4 linked regions of the Macaca mulatta genome follow. The main gene of each other region encodes a partner of the protein of the gene in region 3 in a complex. Links are inferred from orthologs where the notes say so. Each region holds a gene or a part of one and is shown on either strand. Other genes may lie near its edges.

Region 1 (4,014 bases), on a different chromosome or scaffold from region 3:
AGAAAAATGAGGACAAAGAAAAAGATCTGTAGCTTTCATCCAGGCTGTGATACCTTAAAAGTAGGAAATGAGGCTCAGAGCTGGAGAAAGAGTACTGGTATCCTTTACAGAGAAAGAGCAATAGAGAGGACTTGAAAGTATCTGAATTATTAGCATCTTTTTATTTCCCAGAAGATCTGGAAGAGGTAAATAAACTCTTTAGAGGGGAAAGGCATTATCTTTTTGTATTACTGAGCCTCTGGTTATTTTACATCTCAATGCATGTGCACACCAGGCATGCACACACACACACAATATTAATAGCTGATAAGTATTCAAAGATTACATAGCACCTGAAGGAAAGCAGACCCAGGTTCATAATGATGCAAGAGAATTCTGCAGGGCGGAAATGTGGCTTCTTACTAGACATTGCTTCCCGGATATGCAGCCCCTCAGTTGAGCATGAAAGCCCTGATGCGGTTTGTAAAGTAGGTGGTAGCTGATGGTTTTACTGTGAGATGTTTGTTAACCAGACAGAGAAACTATGGGTTTTCAAAAGCACCTACGCTGCAGACTGAGCTAACATGAGCTAACAGAGTATTCTGTTAACTGTCAGGTAAAGAGGCTCTCACCTTGCCAATGTTAGTCCTTTCTTCCAAAAAAGTGCAAAAAAAAAACAAAACAAAACAAAACAAAATCAGAGTTCGAAAACTGCTGCCCCATTTCAGTAAATTATAATCTAAGAAAAATCACAAGAGGATCCCACTCACGTTTCTGTAAAGTTTCCACCGAACTAAGATGGTCCCAATTACAAACAAAACGATGCTTCACTAAAGTCAGCATGTTTTTGAAATAAAGATATATCTATGTGAAGTAGAAAAACTAATAAATCACATACTTTTCCCTCCATAATTTTAGATTCATGTAATTTACCTAGATTTATCTTTACATAATAGTCGAGTGAGGTATTTAAATTCTCTAAGCAATTATATTTTAATACAAGTGACTTTTCAAAACAAAAAATGTATTTGTGAAATAGAAAATACAACATTTTATTTAATAGAGTTATGTTAGCATCTTTCCCAACCTACAGTGAGTTCTCAGAAGTTACTACTTCGCCCTGTCTCCGGGTTCAGTAGTTTCACCAATCTAACTGGAACTATTACTTGTTACTTGGAAACTGACCTTCTAGTTAGTCTTCCCACTGAGAAAGAATATTTAACTATTACTGCTTTTTAGGTTTAACAAGCTTTTTTTTGTTGTGGTGGTGGTTTTAATATGCTCCATCTTATTGACTTTTCCTCCCGGGAATCATTGCAATGATTTATTTTATACTACTGTATTTTATTACATATTTTACCTTTTCTCCACGATGCTTAAAAGAAAGGCGCTCCGAAATCTGGCTCTCTGCGCCCAGGGGAACGAGGCACAAGGCTCCGCCACTCAGCCCCACTGAGCAGAGGCTGCGAGTCCGAACCCTCAAGTTCCTTGGGGCTTTGACCCCTCGATGGCGGCGGTCTAACTGCTGGTAAAACCCCCAGCCCCTGACGGTTCCACCGCCCGTCTTCCAAACGCCCAGCGAAGGCTGACTTAGGTGGCGGGCGGACCTTACCGATTCCTCAAACCGCATCGTTTGGTCAAAATCGCCCGCCCTCTCTTCGCTGGGATTTTAAAGGCTAGGCTTATTAAGTCAGTAACTTAACAGTATTTGGGCCCTGGGCTGCCCTCGTCGGTCAGGGTCACTGATGTCGGCGACACTGGCTGGACCGCGCACCCCGCCTGCTCCCGGCAGAGGCCCCACCCGGTGGCTGAGCGCAGCGCACTGGGGCCCCGCGGTCCGCGCGCGGCTGGGAGGAGCGGACGCTCACCGCGCGTTCCCCGGGACAGTGCGGCTCGGCGGCCCTAGCGGGTCATGAGATGCCGGCCCTGGCCCTCTCTTGCGTTCCTCCTGCTCCCCGCAGGCACGCGTCTCCTCCAAATCGGCTCCCCTCCTTCACTCTCGTGGCGCGAGGTCGCGGCCGGTGCCCAATATCACCAACGCCCCGGCCTCAGCCCAGCGCCGCCCTGGGCAGCCTGGCAGGCATTCAGGAGCCTCTGCTCCCGGCTCCAGGCGACCCCGTGTATCTGCGCCAGGCCGCCTGGGAGCGGGCTCTGGGTGCCAGGCAGGTCCAGGTGCGTGGGGCTCCTAGTGCCCGGGGCCTCGGCAGTGAGACCCCAACCCAACAGCTGCATAAGGGATCGGCAACCCTGTCGCAAACGGACAGCCCCAGCGCGGACCCCGTCTGAGCGCTGATGCTCGCGGGTCCAGGCCAGCCACTCCCCGAGGCGCTCCCTCGGAAAAAGGGCGCAGCGGCCCCAAGCGTGCCCGCTGCAACTAGTGTCCCAGGTTCTCGCCGTAGCCAGCTTCTCGGGGCTGCAGCCCTGTCTCCCCGCGTGCACCCGACCCTGGCCTCGGAGGCTCTGCCCTCCGGCCGCCCCATCGCAGCCTGCCTCAGGCCCCGGCCCCCGGCCGCGCCTCACCTGTGAGAAGCAGACAGCCTAGCAGCGCGCACAGCAGGACCCCGGTGTCCCAGCAGAAGACCATGGTGAGTGCGACGCGGCCTGCTCGCCCGGTGCCCGCGCTCCCCGCGGCCAACGACCCGGCCGCCCAAGTCCTTCCTCTTGTTCTCCGCCGCCGCCGGACCCGCGCCCCGAGCGCCCGTCTCGCGGCTCCAGCCAGGAGACAACCACTTCCCCGGGTAATCCTCGCCGCCAGGCGCCCGCTGGCCGCTGCGCCTGAGTCCCGGAGCCCGCTCCGAGCCGCCGCCGCTGCTTGGGAGGAGCGGAGAGGAGTGTCCGCCTGGCGCGCTCCGAGCCTCCCGCGGACCTCGATGAAGAGGAGCCGAGGGCGGGGGCGATTTATAACCTTTCCCCAGCCCACTTCCTACCCCGGCACCTCCTTCTGGTGACGTCAAGGGGTCCCCCACCCCTCATCCGCCTCCCCACCTACCCTCTTCTTCCTCCCAAGCTCGCTTCCCTGCGGCTACGGAGAGGGGCGGGGGCCGACGAGGGCGGGTGGCCCGGGGCCGAGCGCGCGTGGGGAGGTGCTGGCGACGCGGGCCCGGGAGCGCGGCCCCGGCAGGTTCAGGGTCTTTGCTCCGCGCCCTCTTGCCCTTGCCCCTCCTCCTGCCCATCGCGCTCAGGAAATCCTTGCAGACTCCCTCCACCCGGCTTACTCAGCTCTGGGGGCCGCCCGAAACTGGGGAAGGGACAAGGCTGAAGCTCCGCCGCCCGGCCCTAGGGGCGGAAAGTCCGATCCAAGGGAAGCTGGCCGCGCCTCCGCGACGGTGTTCTTGGCACCGAGGACTGAGGCGCAGTCCGGCTGTCTCCCCTTGCCTGCTCTTCCCGCGCTGTCCCGCCGCTTCTGACCCCGTCAGACTGTCCCGAGAAGTCTAGGAAGGCACCAGAGACCCTCGGCACAAGGCACTGAACCTGGAGCGCCTGAGGGGAACTGACGCTTGCCTGGCACCTTTGGGAAGACTGCGAAACAGCTCAGGTCCCAGGGGAGCGCGTCCGTGTCTTTTTCGGTCGCATTGATGCACCCGCCCAAGTCATTTCCTCAATCTTCTGCTTCCTAGAAGCAAAACAAGGAATAACATTATGATACCTTTAAAAAGCTGAGGCGTGAAACTGCTCCTGCAACTTGGAAGCGCACAGCACTTGAACTTTATTTCCTAAATGCTCGAAAAAGAAATCTTTCTGGTGGCAGCTTGCTACTCAAGATGAGTGACTCTGACCACAACCGGGTGAAATTAACTTGAGGCACTAGATCATTTGCTATGACACTAATTCCACGTTGTTCCTCAATTATGTCTCCATTACCTCAAAGGCTGAAATCGTCCTGGGCTGCACGGAGCAGCCCAGTCTTGTCTCTGTAAATACCGCAGGTTTGAAAAATAGCCCTCTTGGAACCCGTCAGAGGGACATAATACAAGGGGCTGTGATGGCACTTGAACGGAGCCAGCGACTCTTCCTGAAGGACTGGACTACCTCCCC
Region 2 (3,559 bases), on a different chromosome or scaffold from region 3:
ATTCCCTCTCCCTCTTCCTCCCTCCCTCCCTCTCCACTCCCTTTCCCTCTTCCCCTTTCTTCCTTCTCCCTTCTCTCACTTCCTTCTTTCTTCTCTCCCTTTTTCCTTTCTTTCTTTTTTGACTCCAAAGTCAAAACTATTTCGTTACTACTGTCAACTTAAAGCCTCAGGTTATGCTTTCAAGACTTGACTTCTTTTTTATGTTTATTTCACATAGCAGAGTATATGCTAAAGTGAATAGAATATTTAGTGGCTTCATGAACTGATGAAATGGGCTATTTGCTGTCCATGTTTTGTTTTTATTTCCCGTTCATTTTCTCCTCCCATCCTACTTATACACTTTCCAGTTTCTCCTCTCCCCAGTCCCCTACACCTATGCTGCTTCTGAACAACCTCTGTGGAACCTGTTATCTTGTTTTTTTTTTTTTTTTGAGACGGAGTTTTGCTCTTGTCGCCCAGGCTGGAGTACAATCTCAGCTCACTGCAACCTCCACCTCCTGGGTTCAAGTGATTCTCCTGCCTCAGCCTCCCAAGTAGCTGGGATTACAGGCGCCCACCATCATGCCTGGCTAATTTTTGCATTTTTAGTAGAGACGGGATTTCATCACGTTGGCCAGGCTGATCTCAAACTTCTGACCTCAGGTGATCCATCCGCCTCGGCCTCCCAAAGTGCTGGGATTACGAATGCGAACCACCATGCCCAACCTATCTTTAAAATATTCCCTGAAAAAAAAAATAACGCCAAGTTCAGCAGCCTACAGAAGAGTATTAGGACACATAGGGAAGCACCTTAATGCCATGGGAAAATATCCTGAAGTTTTAATATGCCATACCAGAAGGGGGAACAAAGAATTACAACAGAGAAGCATTTCTCAAACTGTTTGGAGTGAGAGATTAATGAATTTGCTCAGGGGAAAAACGATGCTCCAGTCAAATAGGTTTGTTAAACCTTGAATACTCTATGTCTCTCCCCCTAGAGAATACCAATATACATTAGTATATAAAAGGTTCTGAGAAGTCCCTGTAATAAAGAAACCTGTTACACATCTACACATCACCTTAGCACCTCACACTCACTTGACCATGGCACCCTTCTCACCATTCCATTCCAAACACTTATTTGTACCTTTCAGTTTCAGAAAACAAAGTTCAAATCATCTTTAAATCAAAAACGTACTATTTTGCCTTTACAGACTCAAAATCAGACCCTGAACTCCTGTCAAAAAGGAAAAAAAAAGCCCCCAACCAAGCCAACAATGCCAACTTCAAAAGCCTTCAGAGTAGGAATCTGCCTGTACCTCACTGATACATCAACTATAATATCAAACTAGAAGCTTTGCACAAAATCTAAGGAGAAGGGTCTTACACATCTGTGTGCCAGGTGGGCAATTCCATGAGAGGGGAACATTGTAGTATAACTTAACTTGACAACTATCCCTGTGGGCATTATTTTTTCACAACATTTAAACTATCGAGGGTATCACTACTTTAATCTTGCATTTGACCACCACAAAGCTCATTTACATGGCCTCTTAAACAAACATGGCCAGAGCACACAGTCCTACATTTCACTTCAGCTTCACCACCCCAGATGACTTTTGTACATAGGCCCGGCCATGATGTGAGTGAAGCAGCTGGAGGCAGAGGAATGGTGGCCTGGCTGATTAGGAAGACAATGTATCATAATAAATCTTGGGCAGAGAGGAAAACTGAATGGACTCACCATACACAACCAGAGAGACCACGTGACTCTGCTTCTCCTTTGAAATGGGATTGGTAAGGATGACAGTGTAATTTCCTGTGTCTCTTTCGCTCACTTCCATGATCGTCAGTACGTGCCCCACTTTAACTGTGTGATTGGACTCAAGGGGTATTCCATTTTTATACCTATGAAAAAGAATTCTCAGGAATTAGTACAGTCGAAGGATTTGCTCTCACATGAAATGATGCTTTGTGTTTATTTCTAGTAGTTACCATTTTATTTCTGGGGGCGGGTAACCAAGGTACTTCACAGGGATTCTGACACGCTCCCCCACCGTGGCTTCCACCAGAGATTCCATGCCACTTCCAAAAGCAACAAAAGGTTTTTCTGCAAGAAATTTTTTTTTAAAGGTCAGCTTATTGTAAATGGTCGTTTGGTTTAGTTTTTCATTTCAAGTGAAACATCAAAAACATTGAGGGTCTGAGTAGCTGCAGTTCCAAGATTCCATGTACTACCTTTTAGTGGGTCACATTTCAGCTTCTCCCACACCTCCCGTGTTTCTCCCACACCTCCTGTGCTTGCATTTGCTTTTCTCTCCCCACTAGTGCACTCCCATAAGCCTAGTGATTGCTCAAGTCTCAACTCAAACACTTGCTCCTCTGTGCAGCTTTCTCTAAGTCCCCCAGAGATGCTTGGGTGCTCCTTCTCCTCTGCTCCCAAGACACACTCCACACACCTCTTCCACCATGTGTTAATAGGCCCGAGGACTCAGTCTTCAGACGTCCTCTTTATTTACACCTTCCTCTAGCCTCAAGTTTAAAGTAGCATTCACATACCTCCTAAATATGTGCCTTCTGCCCTGACTCCTCTGGGTTCCAGGTTGATATATTAAACATTTCCACTTGGATGTTTCATAGGCATCTCCAGAGAAACATATCTAACACTGTTTCCCTAAATTTCACTGCCTCCTCGATCTTTGCCATCTCAGTAAATACCACCACCATTTACTCAGTTGCTCATGCTAACACTTGGGTCATCTTCCACTCTTTTTCCCTTATACTCCACAACCAGTGAATTGATCAGCAGACCCTGTTGACTCTACCTTTGAAATATATCCAGAAGCAGATCACTTCTCACTATCTCTACCTCAACTACCCTTGTCCAAGCCACTCCTCAACTCTCACCTGGATAAACGTAATTAGCCTCCCAACTAACCTCCTTGTTTCTGCCCCTATTTCCCTGAAGTATCCTGGAGAACAAGAGTACTTCTATCAAAACATAAGCCAGAGCACGTCTCTCTCTGTGTATTTTGGCAAGTGCATCTTGGCAAGTGAAATAATTTGAATAAATTTAGGACACTTAGTGATTTCTATTTTGTTCATTCAGAAGAAACTTTCAAGTTCTTGCTAGGGAGGCCACATGACCTAGAGGTCAAGAGCATAGCTTTGTAGTCAGGAACTTGAGTTCCAATCTCAACTACTAAGATGAGATGAGCTAATAAAGTAAGGGCTCACTAAATCATACTTGTTGTAGTTGTTGCCACTTTTATGATTACAACTCTAATAAATAGTATTATCTAAGGTATTTTTACAATTCCACTTTACTGATGCATTCTCATGATATAAAATCCAAAATCCTTTCCAAGGCTTATAAGTAGGATGCCACACAAATTACCATGTAAACTCAGACATTTATGTAAATGAAAGAGAATTAACAAAAAATTAAGGTGATTTACTCAAAGCCAGTTCAATTTAATTCCAGTTCAATTACAGTTGACCCTTAAACAACATAAATTTGAACTACATGAGTCCACTTATAAGCAGATTTTCTTCCACCTCTGTCACCCCTGAGACAGCA
Region 3 (4,088 bases):
GCACCCCACTCAGGTCCCCCAGCCCTGGTCCCAGGACAGCCAAGGTCAGAGGAAGCCCCTCTCAAGAGAAAACAGTTCCCAGGTTTCCAGCTGGTCAGCTTCCCACTGCGGCTCCTCCAGGGACCCCCTGGATTCTGTACCTCAGCCCCTCACCCATTCCCATGACACCCCCTGCCTTCCCCCTGACAATATTCTCCCTGGACCCTCCACTCCTCCTGGGCCCGAACGAGGAAAGGGGACAGAAATTTCGTACCCCTTCCAAGGCCAGGGGGCACAGGAGGGGCGGTTCTGGGCAGACAGGGGCCAGGTGTCCTTCTCTGGGGGCCTCTGAAGGTCATACTGTGGCCAGGCAGCCACTCCTCCCCCTCCTCCCTACTTGGAGGCCTGTAGCCAAGGCCTTTGTGCCAGGGTCTGAGGAACTTGTGTTGTTAGCAGCGACCCCTGTCCATAGCTTTCCTCGTGCCTTCTCTCCAAGGGAATTCTGGCTGAGGGAAGGCGTCAGGGAGGAGCGGAAAGGGACCCTTTAGGTGGCTTTAAGCAGAAGCAAGTTGGGTGGGCAAGTTTGGAGTTCCAAAAAACCACCTGCTCCAGCGCTGCCTTCCACCAGGACAAAGTGTGTGCAAGGCTGGCAGGAGCTCCTTTCCAGGGTTCACGAAGAACTATTCCCATGCTGCCCGTGTCACAGCAAATTTCAAGCCATTTCTCCAAAAGGGTAAAGTGGGGCAATGACTCTCTTCAAACCCTCCCTTGACCCACCCCCAGAGAGTTAAAGCACAGCTCACTCGGAACTGTTGTGGAGGGAAGGGAAGCACACTGTCACCAAGTCGGGACTTTCGGTGGAGTGTGACAAAGCGCCCGGTGGGCTCCCGCGCCACGACTTCTGACAGTGATCATCCTTTCCCTGGACTCTGGGGCCAGAAAGGGGTTAGATGGATCTTCTCCGCAGAGAGGAATGAAAATAAAAGGGGTGACAGGGCTTTCTCTCCACGATAGAAAGGAAATGGGTAAAGAGAAGGGGCGTCAGGAAATTCCTCCTAGCACTGGGCAGGGGTAGGGTCTGGAGACAGTAGGAAGGGGTAGGGATGGTTCTTCGGATCCCCGGGCTGGGGCTACCTCGCGAAGTCACCTTCCCGCGGAGGGGTGGCGGGGGGAGGGGTGCCGCTCGCCACTCTGGGCTCCCCATTCGGGCAGCCGAGGCTCCGGGAACACGCGGCCGGCCAGGCCCGGGCTGATGTAATCGGCTCCGCGCCGCGCGCACCCGGCCGGGCGGGGGAGGGCGGGCACCGAGCGGGACGCGAGCGGAGACGGGCGGGGTTGGCGCGGCGCAGGTGGCCCAGCAGGGAGGGGGGGTCCCCGCCGCAATCTACCCCAAAACTTTTCCCCAACTCGCGGCGAGGGCCGAAGAGACCGAGGGGCAGTGACAGCAAGCCCCCTCTCCCTCCTGCGCCCTGCCCCCTCCACGCTCTCTGCCCTCCGGCGGTCCAAGGTCCGAGCACCCCCCTGCCGGCTGGTCTCTGGCTCCCGCCCCCGCTGCCCGGACTTCCAGTTCGTCTGGGACCAGCGGCCGGGAGCAAACTTCAGCCGGCAGCGGCAACGCAAGCCCAGCCCCCTCGGCCTCCTCCTCCGGCTCCCGCCCTCGGCTGGTCGGCCCAGATCGTACGTGCGGTGACTCCGGTGGGTGGGCAGGGCCCGCGTGGGCGGTGAGCCTCTCTCCGGGTGCCCTCCCACCTAGCGCGCGCCCCCTCCCCCTGCACCTAAGACGACAGAGGGGGACGCCGCGCGCCTGGTGCCCATGGACCCGCGTGGGGCACGGAGCCCCCACGCGCGCGCTCGCACGCACGTCCCCAGCCGGGAGAGGCGCTCGCAGCTGCCCGCGGCGCCAGCCGGGCACGACCACTTACCTTGGCATGGTGGAGGTACAGCAGCAAGGCAAGGCTCCAATGCACCCAAGAGAGCAGAAAGTTCATGGTTTCGGAGGCCCGACCGGGGCCGGCACGGCTCGCGCTCCCTCTCCGGCTCGGGCTGTGGGGCGGCCCGCTCTCTTCGGCGCCTCGGCGAGCTCCTCTTCCTCCCCGGGCCGAGGCCCGGGCCAGGGCCTGGGGCGCGCGCGCGGCTGGAGCACTGTCTGCGCACACCGCCGCCTCACCCGTCCATGAGCCCGGCTTCCAAGCGCCGAGTCGCCACCGCGGCCCCCTCTCTTCTTCCTTCTCTTCTTCCTCCTCCCCCTCCTCCGGCTGCGGCTCCTCCCGGCCCGAGCTAGCACTTCTCGCGGCTCCGCTCGGCTCGGCTTCCCCGGCGCGGACCACGGCTCCTCCGAAGCGAGAACAGCCCAGAAGTTGGACGAAAAGTTTCAGTGCGACGCCGCGAGCCCCGACCCCCTCCACCCCGCCTCCGGGCGCGGGCTCCGGCCCCTGCCCGCGGCTCGCCGCCGCGTCCACTGTCGGCCGCCGGCCGGGGAGGAGGTGGGCGCTGGGGCTGGGGGCGGTGTCTGTCTGTCTGTCCGTCAGCGCTACTGGTCCGCTGCGGGATCCCAAGGGGGAGGGCTCACGCCGCGCTCCGGCGGTCACCCCCAAAAGCAGGTCACTCACTTTGCCCCTGTCCCTCTCGCTGCTCGCACGCCCGCGCGCTCTCTCTGACCCCGTCTCTCTCTTCCTCGACTTCTCTCTGGAGCTCTTGCTACCTCTTTCCTCTTTCTGCTGGTTTCCAAAATCCACAGTGATTTGGGGAAGTAAAGCAATCTCCCCAAGCCGTCGGCCCGATTCAAGTGGGGAATGGCAAGCAAAAATAAATTAAAACGGGAAACAATACAGTTTAAAAAAAAAAATGTTTAAGAAAAAAGAAGAGGGATAAACCCCGGATCAATGAATATCAAATTCCAGCACGGAGCGCCCTGGCGGGTGAGTCCGCTGACCGGTCCACCTAGCCGCTGCGCCTCCCGACAGAGCGCTGGTGCTAGCCCCCAGCGCCACGACCTCCGAGCTACCCGGCTGCCCCAAACCTCCGCGATCCTCCCCGCTACCAGCCGACTTTAAAAAAAGAGGGTGCCTGGCTCCGCCCCGCCTGGACCCCGCCCCCGGCCCGCCCCGGGGGGCGGGGACAGGCGAGCCTCAGCCCCTCCACACGCGGCTCGGGCCCGGGCTCTGCGGACGCCCAGCGAAGCCTGGCCCGCAGCCCGCCGCAATGAAGGGGAAGCTCGACCCCCACCAGGGTTCACAGCCTGAAAATTACCCATCCGCCCCCGGAAACTCTGTCCAGAGACACGCGCCCGCGGGGCATTGGCGAGGAGGGAGCAGGAAAGTGAGGTTACGTGCGGACAGGGCCTGAGAGCCATTCCCTCTCTGCTAGGAATATTGAAGGGGGCAGGGGAAGGCGGACAGCCCGACAGGGACGGGTGGGGAGAGGGACACACAGATCTATTGGAATCCTGGAGTGACCCCTGGCCTTCTCCCTGCTCCAACGCCCTCAACCCCTACACGCACACGCACACGCACACACTCACCCACACAGACACACGTCCTCACTCTCGAAGACGCTGCTCGCTCCATTCACCCAGCTTCCCTGTGGTGGCCGAGCGCCCCCTAGTGACTGCCGTCTGCACACCCCGGCTCTGGCTAAAGAGGGAATGGGCTCTGGAGAGGGGTGTGCAGAGGGGTGGGGGGAGTTTGCTCCTGAACCCCCTATTTCTGACCTCCCAAACAGCTACATATTTGGGACTGGAGTTGCTTCATGTACAGAGAGCCCAGGGCTAGGCACAGGGGGCACAGTGTGTCCCTCTGACAATGTGCCATCTGGAGCCCTCATCTGGCCCGCAGACATCAAAGTGAGCGGCAGCCAACAGGCTGGAGTGACTGGGGTCCTTTGGGAAGTGTCCAGGGATGCTTCCCGGGGGGGAAGAATTTGGCACCAAGTTTGTGGAGCTGAGAACGGGAAGCTGTGTGGTTCCGGGGTTAGTCAGTGACTGGGAGGGAAGAGGACCTGTTGGAGCCCACGTATGCACTGTGGAGTCTGGCAAAACCCAAAGGGGGAGGCAACTGGGCAGACAGAGGCCCTTGTTCCTGCTGCCCCCCCAACCCCAGATGTTGCCAGGG
Region 4 (4,167 bases), on a different chromosome or scaffold from region 3:
GCATTTTGGGGAGCTGGAGGTCCCCGGCAGGTCCCAGCTTCGAATCCCACCCTGAGATCCCACCCCGAGTCCGAGGTTGCCCCGAACTCCGCGCCTCTGGGCTTCTCTGGAAGTGACGCAGCACTGCCGGGGGTTGGGATGGGAGGGGGTTCTGCAGTGAGCGCGGGAGGCAGGTGGCAGAGCGGGAGTGGGTCCAAGCGGGTGTCGCGCACACACGTACACACACTCCAAGCAGCGCTCGGGGACAGATGTGCGAACATCTGGGGTAGGAGATGGCCCCTGAGTCTTCACGACCCCTCCCGCTCCGCACAGCACACGGAACCTGAAGTTGCATGTGTGTGCGCGCCGGTGTGAGTGCCAGTGTGTGCGCGCTCGCGCGCTGGGGCCTACCGGAGTCCGTGTCTGAATACATAATATACTGTGGGCATCCTCATGGCGCGCGCGCGTGTGCACACATACACTGCGAATCACACAAACATACATAATTTACGCAGCATCCAGGTCTGTGAGAGGTAATTTATTTCCGCTTCAAGCTGGGAATTTAGAAATAAGGCAAGAAGGAATGGGGGAGGCCCAGAAAATCTCCCCAAGTGGGACCCCCCACCCATCCCTTTGATAGGATTTGCAGCTGCCCTGAAGACCACTTATGGCAAAGAAAGAGCTGCAAACCATTTCTTTGCCAAAGAAATGGCAAAGGCATTTCTGAATTTTCTTCCCCCTTCAAATAAATGCCCAAGCTTTAAGTGGTGCGTGTGCTGGATGGGGGGCGTGGAGAGAAGGAAGGGTGACAGTACCAGATGCAAAGCTAGGACCCACTAGCTGATGTTCTGGGGGATGCCCAGGAGGCTGCAGAGTTAGCCCTGCCACTGCCGCCATCACCTTGCAAGTGCCTTGGGTGAGGGCACTTCGGGAAGGCTTTTTCGCCTTTCTTTCACCCGTTTCCTCCATAGATGGTTTCTCCATCTCCAGTCACCTGTAGCAGCTGCTAAGAGTTTTGTTGTCAGATTCCAGACACTGTTCTCAGTGAGGTAGAGAGGCTCACTCTAGAGAGTGGTCCCAGGAAGGAAGCACAAACCCCACTGCATTCCCCATGGATTCCCCTTTCCAGAGCCTTGCCGCTCCCCACAAATGCGGTCCCCAGACTGTTCTGGGCCTCGAAGTGCTCATCTCCACAGCAGCCTGTCCACACACCCTTTTTGGCAGTGGTTGAGAACAAATTCCACTCAAAAGTTTCTAACCACGAGTGAGAGACCTTTGAGGGCCTGCAATTTGTTTTAGCTAATAAGAATTTCTAAAAGAACATATGATTTACTTTCCCAGACGACACATGGATGAAGAGAGAAGAGACCAACTGTCTTGGTTGCCAGCAGTGCCCAACCCCAAGCCCCTATCTCAGCCACAAGCCAACTTGCTCCACCAGCCTGAGCCCTATGATTCTGAGGCATAACCAGCCATTCTCCAAAGAATCGACAGCATTTGAAAACCAAAACGAAACTCTTGTCTTTCCCAAGCCCTTCAGTGAACATTGCTCCATGTAGCTAAGTGGAGGGAATGCAAATGATTTATATTGCACTGGCTGGTTGGAGAAACTCAAGGGAGATGTGTTCTGCTTCAAGACAGGGAAAAAAAATTCCCAAAAACTGTAATGCAAAGGCTTTGTAGTATTTTTAAACCTTTGATTCAGTCCATATGTGACATCTGAACACCGCCAAATTCTGTTTCAAAACACACACACACACACACACACACACACACACACACACACACACTCCTAGCAGGAGAGAAAAGTTGGGTTTTAGCAACAGTGGTGGTGTAGGAAGGGCCGGCCGGGATCTCTCTTTAAATTATTGAGTACTGAGGGAGCCTCCTTCTGTGCCTTTCTGCGTGGCCTTCCTGCTTTAGCGGTCGCTTTTAAAGGGGAAACCATGTTGCAATAAATAGAAAAAACTTTCAGTGGCTTACCTGGTTGGCCTCTCACTTGGTGTCTTGAAAAGTAGAGGGCTAAGAAAACCCAGGTGAGAGGAAACATATCCATTTTGGAGAAGGTGGCTCTCTCCAGAGCTGGGTTCGTAGGTTTCTTGTTTAAATCTTTGTGTTTTTCTCTCTTATTTTCTTCCGTACAACGTCTTATGCAGAGGTTTCTAATGGTCAGTGTTTCCCTCCTGAGTCCTGGTGGCTTGTCTTCACCTTTATTCTTGCTGGAATTTCCACCTCACCAGGAGGAGAGTAGCTCCTGAAATCAGCAAAGAGGGAACAAGCCGGGAAGAGGACACGGCTTTCCTCTCAAAAACAAAACGCATGTATGTTCTCTCCAGTTCCTCAAAGTGTCATTTCCTTTATCCTACAATATCACGAGTATTTCCCGAAAGCCAAGCGTAACAATAATGATAATAATAATAATTAAAGCCAAGACTTGCCTTGGGCATCACACGGCCCCCAGGCAGCTGTGTGATCTCAGAGGCGTAAATTGACACACATCCCGCGGCACCCTTGACGGACACGCGGGCAGAGGCAGCAGCCGCTGGACAGCCGGAGTGGAAGGCGGCCGCCCTGCTCTTGTCCTCGCCGGGTTCCCCCGGCGGGAGCCTCCACCGGCGGCTACACCCGCTTGGCCAGCCTCTCGAGGGGAGTCTGAGAAAGGAAGCTGCTGCTGCTGTTGCTGCTGGTGGTGCGGCGGCTGGGATCGCCTGGGAGTGAGCGAGCCCCTCTCCGAGTTCGCTGGCGCCCGCCCTCACCTCCACCTCGCCCAGTGTCTGCGCGGCTGAGGATGTGCTGGGGGCCGGCTGCAGGCTGGTGCCTCGCTCGTGATCTCTGCCTCCCCTCCGGCTCCCCACTGCCTTTTCAGGCCGAGCAGCATGTGGATGTCAGAGCCGCGGCAGAGCTATCCGATTACGCGCCGGCTCAGGGCCCGCCCCTTCTGTGTTCCTGATTAAAGAGGCAGCCGCGGAGACGCGCGGCGCAGAGCCGAGTGCCGCGGCACCCACCTCGGGCGGGGCGGCGGCAGCTTCTCCCGGGCCGCCGCAGGATCGAAGTTAAGGCGGCGCCTACCCCACAGCCCCTCGCCCGCCCCGCATCTCCCGATCGCCCCCGCGCACCTCCGCGCCGGGCCTCCAGTGCGTAACGCCCTGGGGAAGAAGCGCCCCCCGGCACCTCCAGGGCGCGCTGCCCTTGGCCGTGTCGCCCCCACCCGAGGGAGACCCCGGGGGAAGGGGGGGAAGCCTTGTTCCCCCTAAATTCCACGACTCCGATGCCACACACGCAGAATCCAACACAATGCCACGCGCAATGGCGTTACAAGAGGAGTTGGGTGGCGTACGGTGTTTGGGGTAGCAAGCCGGTCGGCAGCTCAGCCATGCGTTCGAACAGGCAGCGGTGCGTGGCGGCGACACACACCGTCAGCCCGGGCTGAATAAAACCCCAAACACTCGCTGCGTTTACTACTCAGATCCTTTGTTATGTCCCAAACATGCTCTGCTCCTCTCTGGGTTAGGATTTCGTTATCCCTGCGCTTTTAACTTGTAACTATCCTAAAAAGAGGAAAGACTTTCTTCAGCAAAGGATTTCTTCAGGTAATTAAATTGGATTCCCTCAAGTCCCCCCGAAAAAGTATGGGTGCTTGAAGGCTTCTCATCCAAATGCTACTGTAACTACGTCTATTCACATTTTCCCCCATAGAAACGTGGTCACAAAGCCCAGAGAAAGAAAACAGCATTATGCCAACTATTTTTAAATGGAGGCGTGAAAACTGTTTAGAGGGAACTGCAAACTAACAGTTGGGGAAACACTTGTATCTTTGTTTCTGAGGATGGCTTTGTGGATTCCAAACTGTCTTGCTTCACCAGACACCTATTACTACATTATCATAAAGACTCCCACAGAAACAGCCTAAATTACACCCTGCACATGTACACCTTTTCTGCCACAAAAGAGGTATATGAAAAATAAGAACATTCAGAAAACTGTTTACAGATTAAGATTTTTTTTAATTAAGAAAGTAAAATTTTCCGTAGATTAAGAAAAATACAGTTTCAGTGACAAGGAACACACACCTGACTGTCCCATTTTCTTCTTGGCTTGCACTTGTGGATTCTTCTGCGTGGTTTCCCTCCTTATCTGGACTTGCCCATTAGCTTTGTTTATCACTTTTCGTGTTTGAAAAATCTGTAA

What was found.
Region 1: the proteins of VEGFA (region 3) and FLT1 are in contact, whole or in part, in a crystal structure (PDB 5T89), measured with the Homo sapiens proteins. The link is inferred for Macaca mulatta from reciprocal best matches to the Homo sapiens genes VEGFA and FLT1. Residues at the interface, in NP_003367.4 of Homo sapiens: Phe242, Pro246, Asp247, Ile249, Glu250, Tyr251, Ile252, Lys254, Met287, Ile289, Lys290, Pro291, His292, Gln295, Ile297; in NP_002010.2 of Homo sapiens: Ile142, Pro143, Ile145, His147, Leu221, His223, Gln225, Asn227, Asn259, Thr260, Arg261, Val262, Gln263, Met264, Ser277, Val278, Arg279, Arg280, Phe292, Tyr293, Ser315, Pro317.
Region 2: the proteins of VEGFA (region 3) and KDR are in contact, whole or in part, in a crystal structure (PDB 3V2A), measured with the Homo sapiens proteins. The link is inferred for Macaca mulatta from reciprocal best matches to the Homo sapiens genes VEGFA and KDR. Residues at the interface, in NP_003367.4 of Homo sapiens: Pro246, Asp247, Ile249, Glu250, Ile252, Lys254, Met287, Ile289, Pro291, His292, Gln295, Ile297; in NP_002244.1 of Homo sapiens: His133, Val135, Tyr137, Ile215, Val216, Val217, Val218, Val219, Gly220, Tyr221, Asn253, Gly255, Ile256, Asp257, Phe258, Val273, Asn274, Arg275, Asp276, Phe288, Ser311, Gly312, Leu313.
Region 4: the proteins of VEGFA (region 3) and NRP2 are in contact, whole or in part, in a crystal structure (PDB 5DN2), measured with the Homo sapiens proteins. The link is inferred for Macaca mulatta from reciprocal best matches to the Homo sapiens genes VEGFA and NRP2. Residues at the interface, in NP_003367.4 of Homo sapiens: Lys392, Pro393, Arg394, Arg395; in NP_957718.1 of Homo sapiens: Tyr299, Ser300, Asp301, Trp304, Thr319, Asp323, Ser349, Glu351, Thr352, Asn354, Tyr356, Gly417, Ile418.

The regions. Positions count from the first base shown.
Region 1 is NC_133422.1:8,481,182-8,485,195, forward strand, and holds the start of FLT1 (vascular endothelial growth factor receptor 1), read right to left. Parts: upstream 2,852-4,014; 5' UTR 2,564-2,851; coding exon 2,500-2,563; intron 1-2,499. UniProt on the Homo sapiens protein: Tyrosine-protein kinase that acts as a cell-surface receptor for VEGFA, VEGFB and PGF, and plays an essential role in the development of embryonic vasculature, the regulation of angiogenesis, cell survival, cell migration, macrophage function, chemotaxis, and cancer cell invasion.
Region 2 is NC_133410.1:78,389,081-78,392,639, reverse strand, and holds part of KDR (vascular endothelial growth factor receptor 2), read right to left. Parts: intron 2,090-3,559; coding exon 1,975-2,089; intron 1,888-1,974; coding exon 1,724-1,887; intron 1-1,723. UniProt on the Homo sapiens protein: Tyrosine-protein kinase that acts as a cell-surface receptor for VEGFA, VEGFC and VEGFD. Plays an essential role in the regulation of angiogenesis, vascular development, vascular permeability, and embryonic hematopoiesis.
Region 3 is NC_133409.1:138,344,496-138,348,583, forward strand, and holds the start of VEGFA (vascular endothelial growth factor A, long form), read right to left. Parts: upstream 2,825-4,088; 5' UTR 2,508-2,824; coding exon 1,902-2,507; intron 1-1,901.
Region 4 is NC_133417.1:110,938,366-110,942,532, reverse strand, and holds the start of NRP2 (neuropilin-2), read right to left. Parts: upstream 2,814-4,167; 5' UTR 2,036-2,813; coding exon 1,963-2,035; intron 1-1,962.